Schizosaccharomyces pombe: one gene and its partner. Changing the gene in region 1 together with any one later gene gives a genetic interaction. Each region holds a gene or a part of one and is shown in the gene's direction. Other genes may lie near its edges.

What was found. A genetic interaction does not mean that the proteins touch.
Region 2: mutations in frp1 (region 1) and ssp2 together harm fitness less than expected from each alone (positive genetic interaction), as found in Schizosaccharomyces pombe (one large-scale study listed by BioGRID).

The regions. Positions count from the first base shown.
Region 1 is NC_003423.3:157,671-165,919, reverse strand, and holds frp1 (Fe(3+)-chelate reductase Frp1), read left to right. Parts: upstream 1-3,527; 5' UTR 3,528-3,764; coding exon 3,765-5,459; 3' UTR 5,460-5,563; downstream 5,564-8,249. Other genes in the region: Fe(2+) transporter Pcl1, read left to right, coding at 762-1,490; hexose transporter Ght4 , read right to left, coding at 6,692-8,249. UniProt on the Schizosaccharomyces pombe protein: Metalloreductase responsible for reducing extracellular iron and copper prior to import. Catalyzes the reductive uptake of Fe(3+)-salts and Fe(3+) bound to catecholate or hydroxamate siderophores.
Region 2 is NC_003421.2:1,926,646-1,933,920, reverse strand, and holds ssp2 (serine/threonine protein kinase AMPK catalytic (alpha) subunit Ssp2), read left to right. Parts: upstream 1-1,946; 5' UTR 1,947-2,063; coding exon 2,064-2,211; intron 2,212-2,263; coding exon 2,264-2,496; intron 2,497-2,704; coding exon 2,705-3,056; intron 3,057-3,106; coding exon 3,107-4,104; 3' UTR 4,105-4,731; downstream 4,732-7,275. Other genes in the region: ppn1 (cleavage and polyadenylation specificity factor complex-associated protein), read left to right, coding at 5,714-5,882, 6,041-6,121, 6,242-6,452, 6,504-7,275. UniProt on the Schizosaccharomyces pombe protein: Serine/threonine protein kinase essential for release from glucose repression via the phosphorylation of scr1 upon glucose deprivation.

The DNA.
Region 1 (8,249 bases):
GGCATATTAAAAGCTAGGCAATTTTTTTCGATATTAACATATCCTTGCATATCAATGTACTATTACAGATTGATTAATTTCGCATTTCTACTTTAGGTCGTTTTCACCAACTGTATGGATGCCTACATCCGTGATGCTCTTATTTAAACGACACTTATGCAACAAGGTCTTCGACTTCTAAATCCACGCTCAGGCACTGGATCGCTAGACCATTCAAAAACTATGTTGGGGATTAAGTAAAGATGAAAGAAGTTTACATTTCTAGTACTCTAATATTACTAATCAAAAAGCAAGATATGTCTTCCAAAAAGTACTGAATTTTATAATTAGAAATGAAAATTGAGCACTTATTTGTGGGCATACACAGTCAAAATATTATTCAGGTTGTTAATATTTTCACCGATTGAAATAAGTCGTAAAAAATGTTCCGCCATTTTTAGAATTCATTTGTGATAGCCTCTAAGGATACCGAAAGTTAACATAGCGTTAAACATTCCCAGCATTTTGATGTTATCAGTACTTAAACAAGGTTCTTAAGCCGCGTTAATCCCGTTGACCAATCAAAAGGCTTCTATATCAAATATTTATTTTGACACCATGCCTCCGTTTTCAGTGTCCTACTAATTGCAGTTTTCAACTTCTTTCTTTCTATTTTGTTCTTTGCAACTTCATCTTTTTACAATAGGAACCAGAAGCACTTTTTATCAAGGAATTATTCAATCACTACCTCTACACTATCGTTAAACTTTTATCTTTGTCTAATGTGGAGTATATTCGAAGCTCGTCCTAAAGAAGCCCATTCAGTGAATAAAATTGGATGGCTACGCGCATCAGTGCTAGGTGCCAATGATGGAATTTTGTCACTTTCGGGTTTATTAGTAGGTGTTGTTGCAGCTAATGCTGATATAAAAGTTATTCTCATTACTGGCGTCGCCGGTTTAATGTCTGGTGCTCTATCAATGGCGGTAGGAGAATATGTATCTGTGAGTTCACAGGCAGATTTAGAGGATGCCGATTTGCAACTTGAACGAAGAGAGATGGACGCTGATTGGGATGCAGAAGTGGATGAGTTAGCCGCTATTTATAGAGGGCGAGGGTTAGATGAAGAGCTATCACGTACTGTTGCCGTTCAATTGATGGAATATAATGCTCTGGAAGCCCATGCTAGAGATGAGTTGGGCATAAATATTCACACAACAGCGAAACCTACTTTGGCAGCACTATCTTCAGCAGCTTCCTTCTCAGTTGGTGGTATATTTCCTCTTTTGACATCTCTTATTACTCCTTTAGAATATCTATCGCTTGTTCTTCCAATTGCTACAATGTTTTTTCTTGGTATGTTAGGGTTTGTGGGTGCTCACATTGGAGGTGCCAAAAGAGTGCGTGCAATACTGCGAGCTGTGGTCTTGGGTCTGTTAGCTATGGCAGCCACGGCACTCGTTGGCAGGCTACTTGAGATTCATGCTTTATCCTTGCAGTACGCAATATAGCTTTCATTCATGGACAAATCGTTTATTCATATCGTTCATTGAAAATTTTTTTTGCTACACTTACAACAATTGTCTTCTAAAATATAAAAGATGCATTGAAATGCCTGTTAATTTAAGCTAATTTTTTACGGAAATAATTTTTAATACATGCCAAACGTCTAAAGAGGGGAAGCATCTAGAATCAAGTTGTTGCTACTAATTCATGATCAAATTAAGCTTGGCTTCTCCATTATTATCTCAAAGTAAAGTCTTATTGATGAAGACATAGGATGAAGCAATTATTGGTTCACCAGCTTGTACCTAACGATGAATGAAGTACTTGGAATAATATCAGTAGCATTGCTGTGTGCTATAAATGGTCTAAAACCTAATAGAATAATGAAAGAAATTAATTGGCATTTATTGAATTCGTGTTGGACTATAGAGGATCATGTGAAAATAAACTTGATGAGCTTCAGTTACCCTCATTTCGTCTTGCAGTCTAACATCAGGACTTTTAAAATTGAAATTAGAAATCTTTATAATACTTTTTTTTAGAGGAAATTGATTTTACTGCGAGACTGTGATGGTGAAAGGTGATGGATCGATGATATTTAAAACATTAAAGATGAACTTGATTTCTCTATTCATTAACAAAATAAAACAAAAACACATCTTCATATGATTTTATGTGAGTTGAAATGTTTAGGACTCTGACTTTTTACAGAACAGTATTAGTTAATAACTTTTTTAAACCATTGACATCCACAAGGTCGGAAAATTGTCAAATTAGTATTTCTATGCGTGGATGGAATATGCAATATAGTAACCGAATTTGCACGCAAAAAAGTTAGCATGTTAGATGGCGTTAGGATACGTAATACATTTCCTTTGGTGACAGTATAGCGCATGTCCAGAGGGTTTAGTAGCTTAGCTTAAGAACTCCTGAACACTTTTGTTGGGAAAGTAGTCATTAACGGGATTCTAGACGCCGAATTAATTAAAAGATTCAAGTAGCTAGAAGATTGTTTCATGAAAATTCAATGAGGCTGAACTTCTGAGCGTGGTTTCGTTCCTCATTCAAGGTGAGAAAATAACCTAAATCATGGAGTTGACGGGCTTCGGTTAGTTTTTCTCGGTTCGATATGACACCGAATACCTTCTAAGTTGGTAAGATCGGTTAGCTTTTCCTTTTTTTAAATTCCTCGCAGTGAATGCGTGCTGAGTATTTCGGGTGTAGCAACCATGCCAAAGTGGTAAAGTACACAATAAACCGATCATAGGAATCATATTAATTATTTTCTCTATTATTTATGCAGGGTGTTTTCACTTTTTAAGTACAACAAAAGGAGTTTTTAAAGTATCAATAAACTTATAGTTCTTTCGTATTAACAGCATCCGATGAAGGCAGAAAACCTTAGTAGTTTATGAAAACAGCTACGAGATGGATACCATGAGATGAGTATTACCGCAATTGAATAGTTTATTCTGTTCGAGAAGTATTGAAGGTACTGACCGGAAAAAAAAAGCAAGGGGAAAAAGTTTAGTTTCTGTTGATTTTCATAAGCAGGAAGCATCAAAAATACAGTCCAACGACTCGCCAAACATTTCATCTAATTGTTTTAGTATTTTTTCTCCAAGTAATGCTTGCTTGCACATGACTTTAGCTCATCAGATAAAAAATAGACTGTCAGAGGAACACCCCGCTTCCAGCCGCTTCCGCTATACACTAAATACAGTGTTGAACAAAATGAACTTTGTAAACGCGTGAATCTACGCCACTGCAAAAGTGCAAGGGGTGGCTTCCAGAGGTTACAGAGGGGAGGCTTTGTACAAGTTCTTTGTTAAATTTTTTTTTTCAAGCTGACAACATTTGAGAAGAATGCGTCTTTTTTGCTAAAATGTGTTATTGCGATCATGTTTGTCCAAAATGTTGCAACAACAGAGGTGCAAATTTGGTTGATCTGATAACGCATCAAGATAATCAGATATGACACAAATAGCAAAGTGGACAATCGAATGCGATATTAATAAGGCTGCGCTTTTAACAACATTTTCAACGAATTTCAACTAAGAAACAAATAGACATACGAAAGTAGGGAAACTCGGATTTTGGGGAACGAGTACTAATAGTTTCTGAAAATTCAGTTTAATTTTTTGCTAACTGCAAACCCAAAGGATTGGATATCTCATTCCGGTCCACTTACATTACACCCTTTTCTAATTATTATTAATAATTTTTAATATATACAATTTTGAACAAGAAGAATCTCCATACATTTATACATTTGAAGGATGGCGATAAATTCGAGCGACAAATGGACCGTCATTGCAATATGCTTAATTCTTGGGATATTACTTGCATTTATATTGATGTTTTGGCTTGAGCGTTTTCGGGTCATAATAAAATCAAATGCACACAAACATGACCCATCAGATAAGAGGCAAATATGGCTCGAGAAATATTATCTTTTTGTTCGACAGATTTATACGTATCTTGTCACTCACAAAGTAATATTGACTTTAATTGCTGTTCCTGTCGTCTTCGCCATCTCAATACCATTTATTGGCATGCAAACTCCCGCAAGCTCTCACGGAAAGCAAACAACACAAGTAAGTACTGGTAATTGGAGCAAAAATGCAGTGGCCGCTCGGTTAGGATTTTTGGCATGTGGCCTCTATGTAACTTCCTACTTTTTTAGCATAAAAAACAATCCTTTTGCTTTATTGCTCATTTCGTCTCACGAAAAAATGAATTATGTGCATCGTCGTCTTTCTCAATATGCAATTATGATCGGTGCTATTCACGGCTTTGCATACATTGGTCTTGCAGCGCAAGGTAAAAGGGCACTTCTTACTGCAAGAGTCACCATTATCGGTTATGTTATTTTAGGGTTAATGGTAATTATGATCGTAAGCAGCTTGCCATTTTTCCGTCGAAGATTTTACGAATGGTTTTTTGTTTTGCACCATATGTGCAGCATTGGCTTTTTAATTACTATTTGGCTCCACCATCGAAGGTGTGTGGTTTACATGAAGGTCTGTGTTGCCGTGTACGTGTTTGATCGTGGCTGCAGAATGCTAAGAAGCTTTTTAAATCGTTCCAAATTCGATGTTGTTTTGGTGGAAGACGATCTCATCTATATGAAAGGGCCTCGTCCAAAAAAATCTTTCTTTGGATTACCTTGGGGTGCTGGAAACCATATGTATATTAATATTCCCTCTTTAAGTTATTGGCAAATACATCCATTCACGATTGCGAGCGTTCCTTCCGATGATTTTATCGAACTATTTGTCGCAGTAAGGGCTGGTTTCACAAAGCGATTAGCCAAGAAGGTCTCTTCCAAAAGTTTGAGTGATGTCTCCGACATCAATATTAGTGATGAGAAGATAGAAAAAAATGGAGACGTTGGAATTGAAGTGATGGAAAGACATTCGTTATCACAGGAAGACTTAGTCTTCGAAAGTTCGGCTGCCAAAGTATCGGTACTAATGGATGGCCCTTACGGCCCAGTCTCAAACCCATACAAAGATTATTCTTACCTCTTTTTGTTTGCTGGAGGTGTTGGAGTTTCGTATATCTTACCGATTATTTTGGATACTATAAAAAAGCAAAGCAGAACCGTTCATATAACTTTTGTTTGGTCTGCTCGTTCTTCGGCTTTATTGAACATCGTGCATAAGTCACTTTGTGAAGCTGTTCGTTACACAGAAATGAATATCAACATATTCTGCCATTTGACTAACAGCTACCCTGTCGAGGAAGTCTCTTCTCTAAACTCTCAAAGTGCTAGAAATTACAGTTTGCAATACCTAAATGGAAGGCCTGATGTAAATGATTATTTTAAAGATTTTCTGCATGCAACTGGTACTCAAACAGCCGCTCTTGCATCATGCGGCTCGGATAAGCTTCTGAGACATCTTAAAAGCTGTGTCAATACACACTCACCTTCCACTGTCGATCTTTATCAACACTATGAAGAAATTTGAAAAATTTAATGAACCTCAAAACTCTCTTTTAACGGTGACAAATTACTGAAAGTGTACAAAATATTTTCCGATTATTTAGATACTAAGTTGCTTGTAAAACAATCAATACTTCCATAGAATCGTAAAATTCCATCTAATTTTCGCTTTACATTTAGAAAAGCATACATTAATTAATTTGATGGTTTAAGTTACGAAACTGTATTGTCTTTATCTAACGGTAGCTTATGTTGATCCAAACTTTGGTAAGAAAATCATACAATCAAGTTAACTCGAAAAAACGAAGTCTTCTTGAATCCAAAAGAAACCTCAAGACTATTTTTCTCTTTTTTTTAATTTAAAAGATTAGAAGATTAAGTCTGGTCCAATATATTAACATAGAGAAATAATGAGCTTGTATACGAAAATTATGACGAAGTGAATATAAATAATCGTCCTTAGTTACAAATTAGCTTAAAAGAAATTTCCAAAAGCAAACGGAGTCTATGTGTAAACATGGTAGGTACATTGTAATAATTTGCAAATAACTGGTTCTCTACTTGGTTGTTTTAAAATCATGGGTGATTTAGTATTCACTCCGAAGTCTGGAAGTACTCTTCCTTACCTAATTGCAGTATTTTCGTTTCAGTAATGCTTACAGTTGAGTGAAAATCAGGTGTCTCTTTAATTCAAATTAAATTATCTCTTGTTGTTTATGCGTAAGTTTTTGTTTTCTGAGCAAAAACATTTACTTTTTGCTGCTACGGAAAACAATACTCAGTTGTGACTCACTAGCTTCTAACAAATTGTGCGATGCATTGAAGGTAAAGAGACAACCCCAACGTCAAGGGAAACCATAACGTCCTCAGAGCACTACAATATTTAATGAACATCAACAATAAGTAATATTAATCCTTATTTTGCAAACTTTCAATCATTTCTTATAATTTTTTATTTCATTAGCTGAACAAGCGAAATATTAACAGTAAAGACGTAGAACTAAAACTATTAATTTCACTTCCGCATTCGTGGAAATTTTGAAACTTCTCGAAACGGTATTATATGTCCACTGGCATATTCATAAATGAAAGGCTAACTATCCTCATGAAACTAGTCACTTCCAAATCATATTTAAAAATGTTAATTTATGCTTTAAGGTTTTCTTTGCAAGCAAAGTATTACTTTATAATGTAAGTGAGAACAAAGACCATGAAAAATAAAATGCAATAACGCTATATAAATTTTGATGACACGGATTATACCCAAGTCGGGTGTGATTCTTCTGACACGTTTGACCTCCTAGGAAAAACCGATCTGGAGTGTGCGCCAGCAGATGCAAAGGATTCTGAAGAAGCGCTGCTATCGTCATTATCCGCACCATCTGCATTTTCGATAAAACGTTCTTCTTGACCGCGGTATCCTTTTGACTTCTCTCTTTCTCGCTTTTCTTCTTCTTTACTGAAGTGTATACGACGAGATTCAATTTGTCTCACGTACTTATAGGAATCCCATGGCTTAATGTCAGACTCGTATAATTCATTAACTTCTTCCAAGGTAAGGCCTTTAGTTTCTTTGGCCATCAAAAATATTTGAAACGCAGAAGTCATATTGATACAAGCATAAATATATCCAAGTTTGAACCCAATAGAATTTGAGATGAAAGGAGTGAAGAATGAAACCATAAAGTTGCCCAGCCAATTACCCGATGTGGCTACAGCAGCACATTTGCTACGATACCGTATTGGAAAGGTTTCGCCGACAATAACCCAGCCCATTGGGCCCCAAGAACAGCAGTAAGAGAAAAGAAACAAACAAGAAAACACAATCATTACAGCTCCTGCTCTGTGATCACTAGTACCATTCTTATATATGAGCTTTCGATCGCCTACAGCGGCATATATAAAGAAGCATATCGATTGGAAAGCAGCTCCAAAAATTAGTGGGTTACGACGTCCTAAGTTATCAATTGTGTATAAAGCACCAAACGTTGTACCAAAATTAATAGCACCTAAAATAACGGCTGGTAAGAATATATCCGTCATACCAGTTCCCTTGAAAACTTGTGTAGCATAATAAAAGTAATAGTTATTACCAATCAATTCTCTCAGTAACATAGTAAGGAATCCCAAGACAGTACGATAGCGAACTTCTTTTCCAAAAACCTCAGGCCATCTTGCCTTACCTCCAGCCATTTCCATTTCAATATCACTCTTAATGGTATTAAAATTGGTTTGAATGATTTCACTCTCAGGATCTAGTTCAGCAGTTTGACACATGATTCGAAGAGCCTCTTCATCTCTTCCCTTATAGATGAGGTAACGCGGTGATTCAGGTAAAAACAGTACACCCACCATCAAAAAGATACCCCAAAGTATGTTAATGCCAAAGGAAGTTCTCCAGGACGCTGTTTTACGAAGTTTATGAGTTCCCATATTGATACAAGCAGCGATTAAAGTACCGCAAGTTTGAAATAGTTGATAGGTCGAAACAACTGCACCACGAATTTGCGGAGGAGCAACTTCAGATTGGTATCCAGGACTCAACACCGACAAAGCACCAATAGTTAAACCTGTAAATAACTTACCAACCATAATCTGAACCCAAGAAGGAACAGCAGTTACCAAAAGAATTTGACCAATAATGTAACAACCGCTAAAGAAGGCAATGGAGTATTTTTTGCCAATGGCTTCAGTAAATGGAGAGGAAAGCATAGCACCAAATAAGCAACCAGCGTTAACGGTTCCTGTCAACAGTGCTTGTCGCCAGGCTGAGTAACTATAAGAGTTCGTGATAGGATTATACCGGTCAGCAAAA
Region 2 (7,275 bases), on another chromosome or scaffold:
TTTCTTGTTCTTCTGAATTTCCTCGATTTTTAATATTTTTCTCTTTGAACAAGCAACATGAAAGAGTATCTCCCTAATCCATACCTCAAACTTGGCATTTTGAAATGAACAAAGGATTAGATAGAGTTATACTATACTGAAATAGAGGACGTTTGCAATGTAGAGATCTGCGATGTTTACACGAGGATAGTTATACAATGACTGTGAATGTGTGCGACAAGCAAATCATTGTACTGCAGAAACAAGAATTTGTGTCAAAATTTTTAACTCGTTCATGAATTAAATTCAAAAAGAAAGTAGACTTACTGTTTGCCAAGCAATATGAGGCAAAACTCTTATCCCGTTTGCTGACAACAATACGATAAACATGTTAATTCGCGAGTTGGCAAGGCATTGATATGTCTACATCATTAATGATTTTAGGAAAACATATAATGTCTTTTTGCTTTAATTTCAAATTAAACGAAATTAATGTTTTTATTTACTAAAACGCGAGTTAACAAGAAAGTCATTGCAAATTAGTGTCAGCAATACTACCCTGCGTTAAAATACATTACGTTGTGTATCAGCATGTTTCCTTATGTTAATATAGTTTTAAGACCCGTTTAAATACTGATAATCGCGGATAACTGTTCATCTAGAATGTTTGTGGTTTAATAAATTAGGATGAAATATAAATAGAGCCAAATTGAACTCAGGAACGACATTCACTTATAAGCTAGTTTAGTGATGGGTAACGATTTAACCCATATATCAATACATAAAATTAATTGCTACTCATGATATCTGTATACTATAATTAATAAACCACAACGAAATTTACCGTACTACTACACGTAGCGCAAAGTTTTAATTGCGTAGTTTGACCTAAAGCTAAAAATTTGCGAACTAACTTATGGTGGCATATTCTATTATATAAAAAAGTATCACTTTAAATGTGTTTGCTTAACACCTATAGATCGTGATGCCAGACAGCATGTGAATGAAGAAACCTCTATTCATCGTGTGAAATGAATTTTGTAAATAAAGTCCAATCACATGCTAACTTTACTATTTGAATTACAAAGATGCTTTTTACACGAAACTTGTTTACGAGGATGTCCAAATAAAAAAGCATTCCTGTGATTGTGATTTACCCCAAACAAGCTATAAAATTCGTTCAGGGTAAATTGCGCTGTATTTTTATTGCATTCTTATATTATCATACAAGTTGTTGACTTCGAAAACACTTCCCTGCTTTCTAAAAAAATTTTTATTTGGATTTTGATTGATAGCTTTTCTTAGAATATTAAATTTTTTCGTCAAAGCAAAGACTTTCATGCAAGAAACAGTGATAATTAGTCTGTGTGCCTTGTAAACAAATGAAATCAGTTCAGGCTCGTTATATTCATGATCACTGTTTAAATGTTGCTGAGAAATCACATCCAATATGAAGACTCTTTTCTAATAAAAAGCTTGTTCATTTCCTTTTTTTTGTATTAACTCAACCAGTACTTAATTGTTTACAAACTCAACGAAGATTTGACAAGAGCGTTATAATGCGATACACAACGCTGCACTTAACAACCATCTTATGAAGACTGTGGGGTACGCCGTGTGTTCCATTATATCTGGGATGGGTTCTTTACAAACATAATAAACTGCTTAATCATACTTGGATCATGTTATTACTTATACAGCCAAGATTGAAATGCGAACACTGTAACATGTATAAGTATTTTATTGGAACAGTTAACTGGGTTAGTTAAATAAGAGTTTGCAGTTTGCATTAAAATGAATAGTGTAGTAGAATTTTAATTCATTGAGTAAAATTCCGCATTGTGACGCAACTTCGTTAACTAGTAAAACGGTGGCTTAAAAAACTGTATAGTGTTATTTTAAACGAATTAACGAGTCCAATTCATATCATCTCATGTGACACAACTAAGGATGTATACTATGGCTTTGCCTTCTACCAAATTATATATTTATCTCACACTCTGAAATTTAAGCCTTGCTATTAAGGAAAAAAAGATTTTATCAATAAACTTTCAATATTGGATTTGCCAAGCGAATAGCTGATAATGCAACCGCAGGAGGTTGATTTAATGGAGAACTCAACCATGCGAAATGGAGCAAGAGTTTTACCACCAGAAGCCATATCCAAGCGCCATATCGGCCCTTATATTATAAGGGAAACCCTTGGTGAAGGTTCTTTTGGCAAAGTCAAGCGTAAGATTGCTAATATTTAATATCATGAGAATAGAGACTAACGTACTTGTAGTCGCTACTCATTACAAAACGCAACAGAAAGTTGCTCTCAAGTTTATCTCCCGTCAATTGCTAAAGAAAAGCGATATGCATATGCGTGTGGAGCGTGAAATTTCATACTTGAAGCTTTTGCGACATCCTCATATTATTAAATTGTATGATGTGATAACCACGCCCACAGATATCGTTATGGTAATTGAATATGCAGGTGGTGAATTGTTTGATTATATTGTAGAAAAGAAAAGGGTAAGTGGTGCGGTTTGCGAGTTTTTGTTACAGTAAATTTCAGAAGTGATGTTGGATTGGTTTGATTTGTCAAAATGTACAAGTTATCCGATTGTCTTTTTTAAAAATAGAAAAAGATAAATTGTTTTTGCATCTGAAATGTTGCTGATGAAGGCTTGTTTACAAATTTGAATGCACGAATTTATGTATTTGCTGACTGTTTTTAAAGATGACTGAAGATGAGGGTCGTCGTTTTTTTCAACAAATTATATGTGCAATTGAGTACTGTCACCGTCACAAAATTGTACATCGCGATCTTAAACCCGAAAATTTGTTGTTGGATGACAATCTCAACGTAAAGATTGCTGATTTCGGTTTATCAAATATTATGACAGACGGTAATTTCCTAAAAACGTCCTGTGGCAGTCCAAATTATGCAGCCCCGGAAGTTATCAACGGGAAATTGTATGCTGGTCCAGAAGTCGATGTTTGGAGTTGCGGCATTGTTCTCTATGTGATGTTGGTGGGTCGTCTTCCTTTCGACGATGAATTTATCCCCAATTTGTTTAAAAAAGTTAACAGTATGTTTGGCCACTTTTTTTTCTACTTATCTCTTGCTAAACGTATTTAGGTTGTGTTTATGTTATGCCTGATTTTCTTTCTCCCGGAGCACAATCTTTAATTCGCCGAATGATTGTTGCAGATCCAATGCAGAGGATAACAATTCAGGAAATACGTCGGGACCCTTGGTTCAACGTTAATTTACCCGATTATTTACGTCCTATGGAGGAGGTCCAAGGCTCTTATGCTGATTCACGAATTGTCAGCAAGCTTGGTGAGGCAATGGGGTTCTCGGAGGATTACATTGTCGAAGCTTTACGTTCAGATGAAAATAATGAAGTAAAAGAGGCTTATAACTTGCTACATGAAAATCAAGTAATCCAAGAAAAGAGTCATCTCTCCAAATCAAAACGAGTCGATTCTTTTCTATCTGTATCTCCACCCGCATTTTCAGAATATACTTCTGAATTGCAAAAGAAGTCAAAACAGGAGCTTATCGATCCTACTTTAGAAGGACCGCGTTGGACAGTCTCCGACCCTCCAACATATGCTAAACAAACAATTGACAGTAACATATGTGTCCTTGTGCCTACGGCAGAAAAAAATAAACTTGAAATGAGGACTCTTGCCGATGCTGCTAGTGCTGTGGATACGAGCCAATCCACTCGCAAAAAGAGTCGCCGTAACAAATGGCATTTTGGTGTTCGCTGCCGGGGCGATGCACCTGAAATTTTGTTGGCTGTGTATCGAGCTTTACAACGTGCAGGAGCTCAGTTTACCGTTCCAAAACCAGTAAATGGAAAATATCGATCAGACATGTATACCATTAAAAGTCGTTGGGAAATTCCTCATTGTAAAAGGGAAGGAAAAAATACTTATGCTTATATTGAGTTACAACTTTATGAAGTTATGCCCGGGTGTTTTATGCTAGATGTGAAATCTAATGGTTACAAAGATATTTATTCTCATCCTGAACGAACAGCTGATCATGGCATGGATGATCTTAAGTCATCTTTCCCATTTTTAGATTTGTGTGCTATGCTGGTGTGCAAGTTATTTTCTGCATGATTTATTGTAACTCCCCATTTAACACGCTGTTTTCAAGCATCCCTTAATTACCCATTGTTGAACAAATCTACTCAATAGCAAAGACACATTTTATTTTTTTTACCTTTTCTTTTAGCGAATAAGGTTGCATGAAGATACTAGTGTCCGGATTAATTACCGCCATTTTCTGTTGAAACATTTATGAATTGATGAATTTAGTGCCATTGTATTATCAACGGTTTACAGAAGATTTTGGTTTCACTCGTTAAGTATTTATCTTGTTATAACCATAATACATTTGTTGATATGAAATAATCGAATGACTGAATGTTAGGAGTTTATTGAGTCCTTTTACTTTTCATGCGGGTTTTCTCTGATAACTGAAATTTCCCATTTATCTATATGCATGACGATGTTGATTATATATGCTCACCTTTCTTTTAATAATAAAGAAAACCGTTAAGAAAAAAAAAATTTATACGTTTATGTTAATGTAAACGAGAATCAAATCAAAGACTAGTTAATATGCAATTTTTTTTTGCAATTTAAGAACGACTTGCAGCTGCGACATCGAGGAACTAGTCCATAAAGAGTATTATTTTCCTTTATCTTTACTTTAATTCAAATACAAACCAATTCTATTTAAAATACTATGCTAGCTTGTTTGTAATTAGTTGAACTTTATGAAGAAAGCAATTCCCCCCCCCCCCTTTTTTTTTTAAAAAAAAAATTGTTAAAACATCTGTACATCAAATTTTGCAAATTTCTTTTCATAAAGAATGTCAATAGAAATGTCAACTTTAGTGTGATAAAGAAAAAAGCTAATAAAGAAAGTTATAGACACAAAATGTGAATTATGAAACGAGAACAAATGATTGGTATTCTTAATTTTTGTATGTCTCAATATTTAAATTATTTGAAAATCCTACTATATATTCCTCAAAATTTGTAGAAGGTATTTTCATTCATTTTGTCTAAAGGATTCATACATTCCACAGTTAGTATATAGATTAATTTGTTCCATTCTGCAAAAAATAAATAAAAATACTCCGTTCATAGAACTGGTGCACAGCTTACTCTCAAAAAAAAAAAACAATGTATAAATTATGTTTACTATCTAATAACAGACGTTAATATGAAGACCGGTTAATGTATGAGGAAAAAGAGATGGGTTCAAAATCACAAGAGAATGAAGAAAAAAATAAGAGTATAATATCCTTTTATTCTTAATTTTTTCTAACGGAATTCGTGAAAAGATTGATCCGATCTAAAAACGGTGAATCATTTTGTTTACAGCTGGAAAGCCATTTGGCATACCAAGTCCCACACGCCAAAAATGCTTCTTAAGTCTTCTATTATTGTCAATATAATTAAAAAATTAAAAATCTACTAAAATTATATTTTTTTATTTAGTTTTAACTATTAATATACACGATGGTGTAGCGAAGGGTTTAGAGAACTCCAACGAATTTCACAAAGTTGCATGTTCAGTTTCCTTACTTGAATAGTAGTCGACGTTGATCCTTTCTCAGCGTATATCCTCAGGAAACGATTAAATCGGCACAGTGCGAATTTCTGAAAGGTTCAATTTATTCGGAGTATTACTTTGAACCTCTTTGATATTTAATTAATGGATAATTGGAATTCCGTGCGAAATGTGTCGAGTGATAGACAAACAAGTAAAACGTCAGAAAATCCTCCACATACTTCCAATGAGTATAGTGGAAAACCGGAATTTATTAATCTGAGTCCTGATTTAGAAGAAAACTTAGATGAAAAGTTAATGAGTGCTTTCCCTGGTATGCAGGCTATTAAAGCGGGGATAGAGAGTTGGTCAATAATTTGAAATATTTGCCTCTACGGGCTGTAGCGAGTGATGTCTTGATTGCTTGTTCTCTCTTTTTTCTCTGCTATTTTTGATCCTTTCTCTTAGAATTCTACTAATTGTTGCCCTTAGGCTTAGAACCTCATGTGTTTCAACACTCCCAGTCACCTCTGTCACATAAAGATGCTTCATTGTTAGCTACAATGCCTTCAGGTATATTTTCTTTTGTTTATTCATTCTTTTTATTTTTATCTCTACTATACTGAGTTTTCCTATGTTCTCAATTTTTCTTTTTCTTTTTTGATTCGTTCAATTTGCTAATATTTATCTTAGTTGCCTCATCCAATCCATCACTCATATCTTCTGGATCTTCGCAAACTGGCTCCCCATCACAATCCTTGTCCTCTAATAAGGAACCAAGTTCTCCTGGCATTTCTCCTTCCAATGACTCTCAATCACAAAATACTAATCATACCTCTATCTCAGCCAATCCATATGTTAATAATCCAAGTCATACTTCAAGGAATCCGGATTCAGGATCTTCGTAAGTTTATTTTGCCTTAAAAATTTATTTATGACTAACGAAGCGCCTTAGTTTAAATACCGCCTCCCATGAAGTACCATCATCAAAATCAGACGTGAACGTTCAAATGCTTGCACGATTAAAATCTAAATCTCGTCAAAAAATTTCTTCCTCTGATCCGTTAGAAGATTTGCGCCTTACTCTGACTGAGTGTTTAAACCCAATTAACATCGTCCAAGCTCCAAAAGAATGTGCTGCAATCCTTGTTAATCTCATGAGCAATATCACCCAAGATGATCAAAAATTAGTTTTTCTAGATCTTCTTAAAAGCAAAGTGGGGAATAGTATTTATAGCCAACTTGTTGACGGCGGTCGTAAATTGTTCCTTCCTAAACTACGTAACTGGTTTGTATCAGCTATTCGTTCTAAACACGACGAACTCATTCATTTAATACTGCTCGTGCTAGCTAATCTTCCTCTTACGACTGAGAAGCTAGCTGAGGTTAAGTTTGGCAAACCAATTTTAATCGTAAAAAAAAAGTCTACCAATTCCGTTATACGCCAGCTTGCTGAAAATCTTTCTGAACTGGCCGAGAAAAGTTTTACTATTGAACAAAATAGAGAAAATGAGAAGAGCTCTACGAAGAACGATTCGACTGTTTCATCTTCCGCAGTCGTTATGGCCCCGGCTGGTCCGGCGATGGCCCCGTCTGCGTCTAATAAACCAAGCGCTTCCTCAACTACTAAATCAAGCAATTCGAAATCTAAAAAAAAGGTAACCAGCATATCGGGAACATCCTTCTTTAAAAATTTAGCAAGCTCTACAAAACCAACTTCGGCCTCC